2 linked regions of the Oryzias latipes genome follow. Each later gene encodes a partner of the first gene's protein in a complex. Links are inferred from orthologs where the notes say so. Each region holds a gene or a part of one and is shown on either strand. Other genes may lie near its edges. The genes, in order: cnnm3 and protein tyrosine phosphatase type IVA 3.

The links.
Region 2: the proteins of cnnm3 (region 1) and protein tyrosine phosphatase type IVA 3 are in contact, whole or in part, in a crystal structure (PDB 5TSR), measured with the Homo sapiens proteins. The link is inferred for Oryzias latipes from reciprocal best matches to the Homo sapiens genes CNNM3 and PTP4A3. Residues at the interface, in NP_060093.3 of Homo sapiens: Ser357, Asn358, Phe394, Asp396, Lys418, Val419, Asn421, Glu424, Gly425, Asp426, Pro427, Phe428, Tyr429; in NP_001425170.1 of Homo sapiens: Asn5, Pro7, Asp72, Gly73, Ala74, Val105, Ala106, Leu108, Gly109, Arg110, Arg137, Arg138, Gly139, Ala140, Ile141, Asn142, Lys144, Gln145.

What each region holds. Positions count from the first base shown.
Region 1 is NC_019870.2:1,782,203-1,786,738, reverse strand, and holds the start of cnnm3 (metal transporter CNNM3), read right to left. Parts: upstream 3,088-4,536; 5' UTR 2,738-3,087; coding exon 2,078-2,737; intron 2,005-2,077; coding exon 1,670-2,004; intron 1-1,669. UniProt on the Homo sapiens protein: Probable metal transporter.
Region 2 is NC_019874.2:10,484,272-10,488,518, forward strand, and holds the start of protein tyrosine phosphatase type IVA 3, read left to right. Parts: upstream 1-1,386; 5' UTR 1,387-1,535; intron 1,536-1,617; exon of another isoform or gene 1,618-1,709; intron 1,710-2,032; exon of another isoform or gene 2,033-2,161; intron 2,162-3,514; 5' UTR 3,515-3,964; intron 3,965-4,247. UniProt on the Homo sapiens protein: Protein tyrosine phosphatase which stimulates progression from G1 into S phase during mitosis. Enhances cell proliferation, cell motility and invasive activity, and promotes cancer metastasis.

The sequences.
Region 1 (4,536 bases):
TAATTGTGGCAGAAAAAGATAGAAGCTGCAGCTGTTTTTTCTAAAAGATGTAATAAAAGTGAAGTTAAAAGAAAACTGTTGGATGTGTTCGTTGTGGTTACAAGACGTTAAGAGGAGAGACTCATTGTGCGCTGAGACGCTGTCACTTTAACCCAATGCATCATGGGAGATGTAGTAATGGAAGACAGATTCTCGTCTCTGAGCTTCATGGTGTTGTTCACTTGTTCCACGGTCTGACACTGGATTCTGTGGAAAGCTACACCACTAAAGACGAACTTTAGCTGGTATTTTAGTTGGAACTGAGAGACGTTATGAGCAGAATCTGAACAAGGAAGTGAAGACTTTAACCACTTCTGATTGGTCAGACTGATGACGTGTGATTAAGCCTCCAAGAATGATTGGTGGAGACAGTTAAAGGGGCGGGACTTTTCAGAAAACAGCTGACGCTACGGCTAAATCGCAGTACCATCATTCTTATCAAAATGTCTTCAATAGAATCAAATAAGCACAGAGAAAAAAGTATTTTATGATCTTTCGTATTCCTAACTACTCAGTGTTTTATCAGGGTTTTTTGGATGAACACAGAGCTGATATCCTGGAGATGGGAAATGTTTTTAGATCAGCGAATGGGTCATTTCCCATGACACACTAGTGTGCCGCGGCACACCGGTTGAAAAACACTGCTCTAGAGTGTTCCCAGTTTCCTGATCGGATCTGGAGCGCCAAGCATGAAACCGATGGCGTGGAGCACACCTTCAGGCGAGATGCACCCCCAAAGAGGTTCACAGGAATGCCAAAAGATCTCACAATCCTGAAGATGTGAAAAGTCATCAGCAGAGAACTTCTCTGAGGACATCGGTTCCGTTCTGAAGGATCTGGGTTCCATCAGAACCGAAGACACCGTCTGAAGTGGATCCAGATTCTGCTGAAGATCCCAGAGGAGCTGGAATTAAATGTACAGCTCTGTCTTTTCTCTGAAACAGTTCCAGATTTTCCTGCTGCTTCTAGAATGTACTCAACTAAAATGAAGGCGGAGCATCGGTTATTAAGCTCCTCCTCTGTGGAAGCCACTTCTGTCTTCAGGACTAGACCTAAACTATCTTTAAGGCTGCATTCAAACTAGAAACTTTCCCGTTTCGAACCAAAGCTTGTAAAGAAAACCACATGACTAAAGATCTCTTCAGTCATTGGTCAGGAATTTTGAAGGCGGGGCAAAGCAACTACAGACAGAAATGATGGCCGTCCTGTTCTTTGCAGTCTTGTCAGGACAGTTCACCGATTCAAACTTTACAACTTGAACGTCTGTATCAAGGTCAGGTTGAACCCTTTTTGCTGTGGTACGATGGAGGCGTGCTGCACGGTGGTTACTATGGAGACGTCGGGAATGAAGGTTCACTGATTCATGTTCATGACATATAGAAAAACAGCGAGAAGTAATGTGGATCACGTTAAAAGATGTTCTAATCCAAACCGCATTTCAATGAGTTGCTGTGTCTCATCGTCATGGTTACTACGTTCTTATGATGTTTTTTTGGCCTCCAACTCCAGTGCCGATAACGGTTCTGGTTTTGCTGGAGGGTCACCCCTCCTCACGGTCGCCCAGAGCGTCCTGATCAGCGGCCGGGTGACCTGGTCTCAGAATTCGGACCTCAAATGGGATCCGGTTTACCTGTAGGGGTCGTTGACGCTGGTACGGACCATCTCCAAGACCCGCTCGCTGATGCAGTTGGTGCTGATGTCCCTCTGCAGGCCCAGGTCCAGGATCAGCCCCAGGGGGCAGGACAGAGGGCAGGTGAGCACCATGCACACCTGGGCCAGCCAGGTCAGGCCGGGCGCCAGCTGGAAACCGTACCCCGAGCAGAGGATGTGAGGGGCCAGCTCGGCCAGGAGGAAGATGAGGAAGCCCCCGGTGAAGGCGGCGGAGGCGATGCAGCCCAGAGCCCGGTACAGCAGCACCCCCACAACCGAGTGTCCCAGCACGCACAGGAACAGCAGCGAGCACGCCTGCGCAGAAGAGGCGGGTTGAGCGAAGGCCAACAGACCAGCATCTTCCTCACCAACCCCCACACACACTCACCAGGAAGTTCCCCCTCCTCCGGACCGGCTCCAGCCGCTTGGCGGCCCGCTTCTCCTCCTCGGAGCCGCAGCTGTGCAGCACGTACAACTCCACAGGGTCGAGCCCCAGCAGGCTGAGGTGCAGCGTCCTCAGCAGCGCGCAGAGCAGAAGCAGCAGCGCGACGAGCAGCGCCAGACCCCACGGCGGTATGGAACCCGCGGCCGCGCCGGGGATCACCCGCAGTCTGTCCGGGGTCACGGACGCCCACGTCTCCCCGCTGCGCGCGCACAGGTGGTAGAAGGTGTCCCCGCCCGCGGGGATACTCCGGTTCGCCGTGACCGTCAGGACCCCGCTGTGGACCTCGTCCTGGCTGAACTCCTCCGTCACCCTGAAGGCGGACTCCAGCCGGCTGCTGTCGGAACCGCACGGGTCCTCGGCGGTTCCGAACCCCGCCGCGAACGCGACCAACGTCCCGTTTCCATTCAGGTTGGCCCCGAAGAGGCGAAGCTGGAACGAAGCTCCTTCAGGCACCGAGATGATCCGGTCTTTGATGCTCACCGCTCCCGTGGGGTCTTCCACCCGCAGCCCCAGAATGTGGGGGTCCTCGCCGCCGCAGGTGCCGCGCCTGACCCCGCAGAACCACAGCATCAACAGAAACCGTTGAGCCAGGCTGGCCACCATATTGGAATGGGTCAACACGGCCCTGTGCGAATCACGTGACTTCAACTTCAAAGCGGCCCGCCCATCTCAGCAGTGAAACTGAGCGGCGCAGCGGCCATGTTGGCTCCGGTAGCTGTGCTTCGGTGGGGGAACGGCGTCCATTTTGGATCTGGATTCGCAATGTTTTTGTTTTGGAAAGCCCTCCCCCCCGCCCACCCTGTGACGTAGCAGAAGCTCCCATCCATCTGTGTTCGACAAAAACAAGCCTCCGCTGCGGACGCCTCCTCCAGCCAATCAGAGCGCGAAGAAGCCGGACAGGGAAGGGGCGGGAAGTGTGGGCGGGAGAAGAGCCCTCGCGCTTGCTGAGACTCAGCGCTTGCTAAACCGTGAAGAACATTTTTGACACGTCCGAACACGCGGGCCTCTGCTCTCTGTCTACGCAAAGAAGCTCAGCCAAAGTCACCTCACTCTCTGCCTCAGCTTTCTCTACAAGTTATAACCAAAAATGTATCAGAAAGTGTTTTTTCCTCCACTATTCCACGCTTTCTAGTCGAGATTCAAATGTAACTTTATTTATAGGGGCCTTTCAAGTTGTACATCAACTTAAAGTGCTTTACTTAATAATTAATCAACAATCCACCACACATCCACATTAATAAACAAAAACGATAAAAGCAGTCCATGAAATTGATTGAAGTCCCACTCTGGTCAATTTCTGATCTATTGTAAAATGTTCCCAGTGGTCATTTAATTGTGATTATGCTGTATATAGCAAACAAATCTGTGGTTTTCTAGGACATAGTTTCTGCAGAGCGGCAGGAGTTCATTAGAAATTCACTTCTGAGTTGTGGGCGGGGCTGTTGGCAAGAAGGAACCCTGCCTCCTTCCCCTCCCTGTACCTGAGAGCTCTCGGATTACACACTCCTATAACCCATCCTACCAGCAACCCAACAGCTGTGCAACCAAAATGCAGAGCAATATTGGAGCCAGTTTTGATCCAGATGCCAGCAAGAAAAGCCGAGACCCACATAGAATTATTTGTCTGCATCAGAATGGGGCGGAGCAGGGAACTTGTGGCCCCACCCAGCGTATTTTCTATGTCACAGATAGTATCTGTATCTCTATACTATACTATCTACCTACATTTTTCCGCCTGCTCCTGATTTACAATGATTTGAAGAAAGAAATACAGTTTTGAGCTAAATTTTCTTTATCCATGCCCTCCATCATCGGAAAAGAACACGATTAAAACGCCATAAACACAATTTCATCAGAATGGGTCTTTAAAAATCTAAAACAAACTTAAATGGCGTAACTTATATGCCGCATTGCCATCTCCTCAAGGCCCAAGGAGCCTTAAAGTCACATTCCCATTCACCCATTGATAGCAGCTCCGCTGTCGAACAATGGTGCCAACCTACGACCACCAGCAGGAACGTATGGTTTAGTGTCTTCCCCAGGGACACTGATGATGGGCGGTCAGGGTGGGACCTGAACCTGCGATCAGAGGTAGACCGCTCTACATCTGCACCCAGTAGCGGTTTTAAGTATGGGCAATTGCCCGGAGCGCAAATTTAACCCTTGTGCTATCCTAGATAATGCCATTATTTATTAACTATTGGAGACATTTTATTACGTGTCTTTATTTTCCATATAAAATGTATTTTTTACGTCTGCCTGTGGTTTAGTTGGTGTCAGTATTTAATATAAAGACAGAACGTAATGCAGACAGCAAAAAAGCTGCACTTTTTGAGATGATAAAGAAACAACGGATCAGTTGTTTATTATTAGCTTTGAGGTGTTTTGGAGGATTTTTACTG
Region 2 (4,247 bases), on another chromosome or scaffold:
ACTTTGTGAGTGGTCAAGATCTCATCAGAGTGACGGCTCGGAGGAAGAAGCTGACTTTGTGGCAAGTGGTTTTGGCGCACATCGTTCTGGAACGCCGCCTTGACTGGAGTATTAACTGATTAAAAGTTACACCCCTAATTTTCAATCTTTCAATCTTAGTTCTGTTGTTCTGTGTTGTTGGTGCTAAACACATCTTGGGATTATAATATATTTATATGTTATCAGAGCTACAAAGCTGACTGTCAACAGAAAAGTGAAAAGTGGGGCAAGAGGGCACCATCACACAGCATCGAGACACTTCCCTCCATAATATGTGTGTGTGTGTGTGTTTAGTGTTCTTCACTTAGACAGTAATATGACAAACTGGAAACACCTTCAGCACAGCTTCAGCTAATTTTAGCCAGTAAGAGATGGTTTTCAAGCCTTGAGAGTCATGTTAACCTCCACTCAAAGTGATTGATAGTGACCTGAGGCCCCAGCTAGATCTGCTTTTAAAATACCTGTGCTTGCAGTGAACACTGTGTGATTCTCTCCACATACCCAAGACTTCACTGAAAAACACGATGACTGAGGCACAGTCGTAACATTTCAGTAACTTTAGATGGTAAACAAACAAACAAGCTTTGGACTATTGTGTCTTGGAGAGAAGGTTAAGTCCATTAACCGAGGCTCAGTGATTTCACTCGTACAATCTGTCTGGTAACTCAAAGAAGCATCTATTTTTAGATTTAGGAAGGGGAAGGACCAAAGCAAGGTGAAACAAACAAGAGAAAGTGACAAGGCAGAACACAGGACTGGACTCAGATGCAGAGCTTAAGGATTTAATTTCTTGAATCAAGAGAAGAGCTAGCTTTGGCAGGTGAAAGCACATGACAAACAGGCACAGGACAAAGGGAAACACAGGCTATAAATACATGAGGAGGGGAGGCACAGGTGGGAATGATCAGGGATGATGAGGCAGACACAGGTGTGGGGAGCAGACACAGCAGGAAGGGGAAGGTCTGGAACGAGAGGTAGGTTAGACTTTCAAAACAAAACAGGAAACCCCACACGAGACAACAGGAAACTTGACGAGACATGACAGAAAGTCCAGTCAAAGTAACAATTTTTTGAGTGATGTTTGACACCTGTGGGATACAAAAGCATCGTTCTTTGTTAGATTTTTGTTTTATGCGGCGGATGTGCTGCATGTAGGCTTATAATGTGGTATCATTAGTTTATTTGGGAGTGAGAAGTAATTAAAAAAAGGGGGAAGTGTAAGACTTCTTTCTTTAAGGCAGAAAAGAAAAGCATTACTGGAAAAGATATGAGAAGGGAGGGAGCGTCGCGGCTACCCGCCTCTCTTTCTAAGAGCATTAACTCTGGGGTGTTCTGATGGTGACGGGGCTTGTCAGGGTCAGATGGCTGCTCAGCCTGATTAAACCAGCTCAGTCAATCCTCAGCTCGCCACTCGGCTCTGCTGCAGCAGAGAGGACCTGGATACAGGCACATGCCACATTAGTGACCACCAAACTGGACTGAAGTGACTGGGAAAGGTGAATAGTTTAATATTCTAATGGAGAAAGCTGCCTCCAAAAGGCTCCACATTCTGTTTTTTAGACTGCTATTTTCGCTGCTTTACAGAGGAGAACTCTAAAATTAGATTTAGTTTTAATGTGGCAGAGCTGAACTTAATTTTGAGTTTGGAGAGGACACCAAAGAGCTAAGTGGTAAGGAGAAGCACTTTTGTTTGTTTAGTAACTGGTTCCCGTTCCCCCATATTAGTATGCCTATCAGATTCTGCAATTTAAAAAAAATAATTTGATGGATAAATACCTGCGGTAAACATTTAAAGAACTGCAAGAGATTGCTGTTACTCTAATCACTGGACTTGTCTGGAGCAGGCAGACGACAGGAAGATAGGAGTGTGCTTGCACTGGAGACAGTTGTTCCCTCAAAAAAACAAACAAAAAAAAAAAAAACTGATGTGTCACAGAATCAGCTGCTAGTATGGATGGAGCTATAAATACCGGTAGGGATTTAGTGTCTATGGCGGTTTACTATAACAGGCAGTCAGCTGGTTGCATATCAGCACTTACACTGTTGTGGGGCTGCTGCTTCTGCAGGACTTTGGTGTAACTGCTTGTCGGTGTTTTTGATTTCCCTTTTCAACAGCCGAGGGGTAAGAGAGAAACTTGATTTAATTAGATTTTTAATATTAAACATCTTCTTTGAGCTTGATGTCAGTATAGGTTTTGGCTGGTGTGCAATTTATCCAATCAGAACTTTTGATCGGTAGAGTTTGTTGTCATTCACCCTTTAGTTTGAAAATATTATAGATTTCGTAAGACCATTTGAAAACATGCACTTAGATCAATGCTTTTATGTCATTGTGTGCTGACCAGGCCTGGATGTGGCCAACTTATTTTACTCAGATTCAAAGTTTGGAAGGACATCTGAACATCTTTTCTTTCTATGCAGACTTTGTCTGATTCAAGTGTCTTCCATAAACATAATTTGACAGAAAAACAGAATTATTTGTTCTTTTGATTTTCACAGATCGGTGAAATTTGTTGCTTCAAAGTTACTTGCTCAGTTTTTTTTTTAAAAGAAGTAGGAAATGACCAAACTTGTTACTTCTGTCTTGATTACTGGCAGCACATTTAGCTAATTATAGATTGTCAACAAGCCGGTTCAGACCACAGTCCTCTTGAAAGGAGAAGGAGTGAGTCTGTGTGTCAGGGGTGACCACAGATTATCTCCTGGCTTTTTACTGCTTGATTTTCTGAGGATTTGAACACATTAGTGAGTAGAGGGTGAAATCTTTGACTGAGATCATAAATCCTTGGTGTCCTAATCTCAAAGAGTCATAAATCTCAATCCTGTGTCCCTAAACTAGATAAATTTAGGGTTAAAAGCCCAATATTGATGTTTATGGGGATGAAATTCTTTCATCTTGATCATTTAAAAAGTTGCATGACAACATGTCCAAAACATCTACAAAAAATGTTTTAATAACATGCAAATACAATTCTGTGTTGTATTTTTTTGGGTTCTTCAATACATATTAAGTAAACACAAAAGGGTTTTTGAGATTAGATGTTTTACTTTGCCCTAGGATTAACCAAATGTGTTATTTGTATACCTATTCCTTTTTTACAGTTGATCACCTATTCGCTTGTTTTTATGTATTCAAGCATTAATTGGAAATATTGGATAAAATAAGTCATGGTCCTGGAACATACAGATTAATCATGTCAATAATGTCTGAACAGCTTCTTCATTTTGCAAGTCTTGTCATTTGAACATTTTATGTGCGAGTCACACATTTATTTACTTGTAAATATAGGCTGACAACATTCCTCTGAGGAAAACAATTGAAATATTTTTTAAATCAACATAACCTTGTTTAAAATGCTGGAGGTCACTATGTTTGTGTTTTTTCAGCTATTTCTGCCACTGAAGTAGAGGCCTTGTTTAAAATATCGCACTTCTAAATCACTATTAATTTGTTCATGTGTGTTTTGTGTTGCAGAACCGCTGGTTGATGGAGTTTGTGCGGCAGAGTGGTGACTATTGCCATGCTCAACACATTTAGACCCTGTCTGGAATGATGCAGCGCCATACAGTCCTGGGGTCATGAGCCCTGGAAGACCACTGAGCCTTACCATCTAAAACTGACTGCTCATGGGTTAACAAGTGGAGCCTTATCACAGACAACGTACTGGAAAGAAGAGGAAAGAGTGTGACTGGGAGAATTTAAGAAAGTAAATAAAAAACACTGACAATTGCAGAGCTTAAAATTCAGCTGATGCACAGTAGTGTTCTAGATCACAGGATACAGTCAACGGATGGGAGAACGAGCCGAATAAAAGGGCTACAACTCTGGGAAATTACATAATTTTATTATCAAAATCCTACGCCAGGCTCACCCGGAAGACAATTCTGAAGATACAGCAGTCAACTGCGACAGCTGGAACTAAAGGTGAGGAAAGACAGTCACAAGATCTGCTATTCCACTTGCTCGTGGTACTCTTGAAAGGTCAGAGCTTACTTTTAGAATGTACATTTGTAAGGCCCCAAACCAGAAAGAACAGTCTCTCTAAACTTCTTAATGGAAGAAAAATTTACAAAATAAAAGGCAATCTTGGAAAAAAAATCCCTGTCAGAATAGAATAAAAATATTAAAAAGATTTCAATCAAATAGAATTTATAAAGAAGGCGCAGCAGCAGTTAGTTAGTTCATTTAATTCTGTATGCAGCCCTGT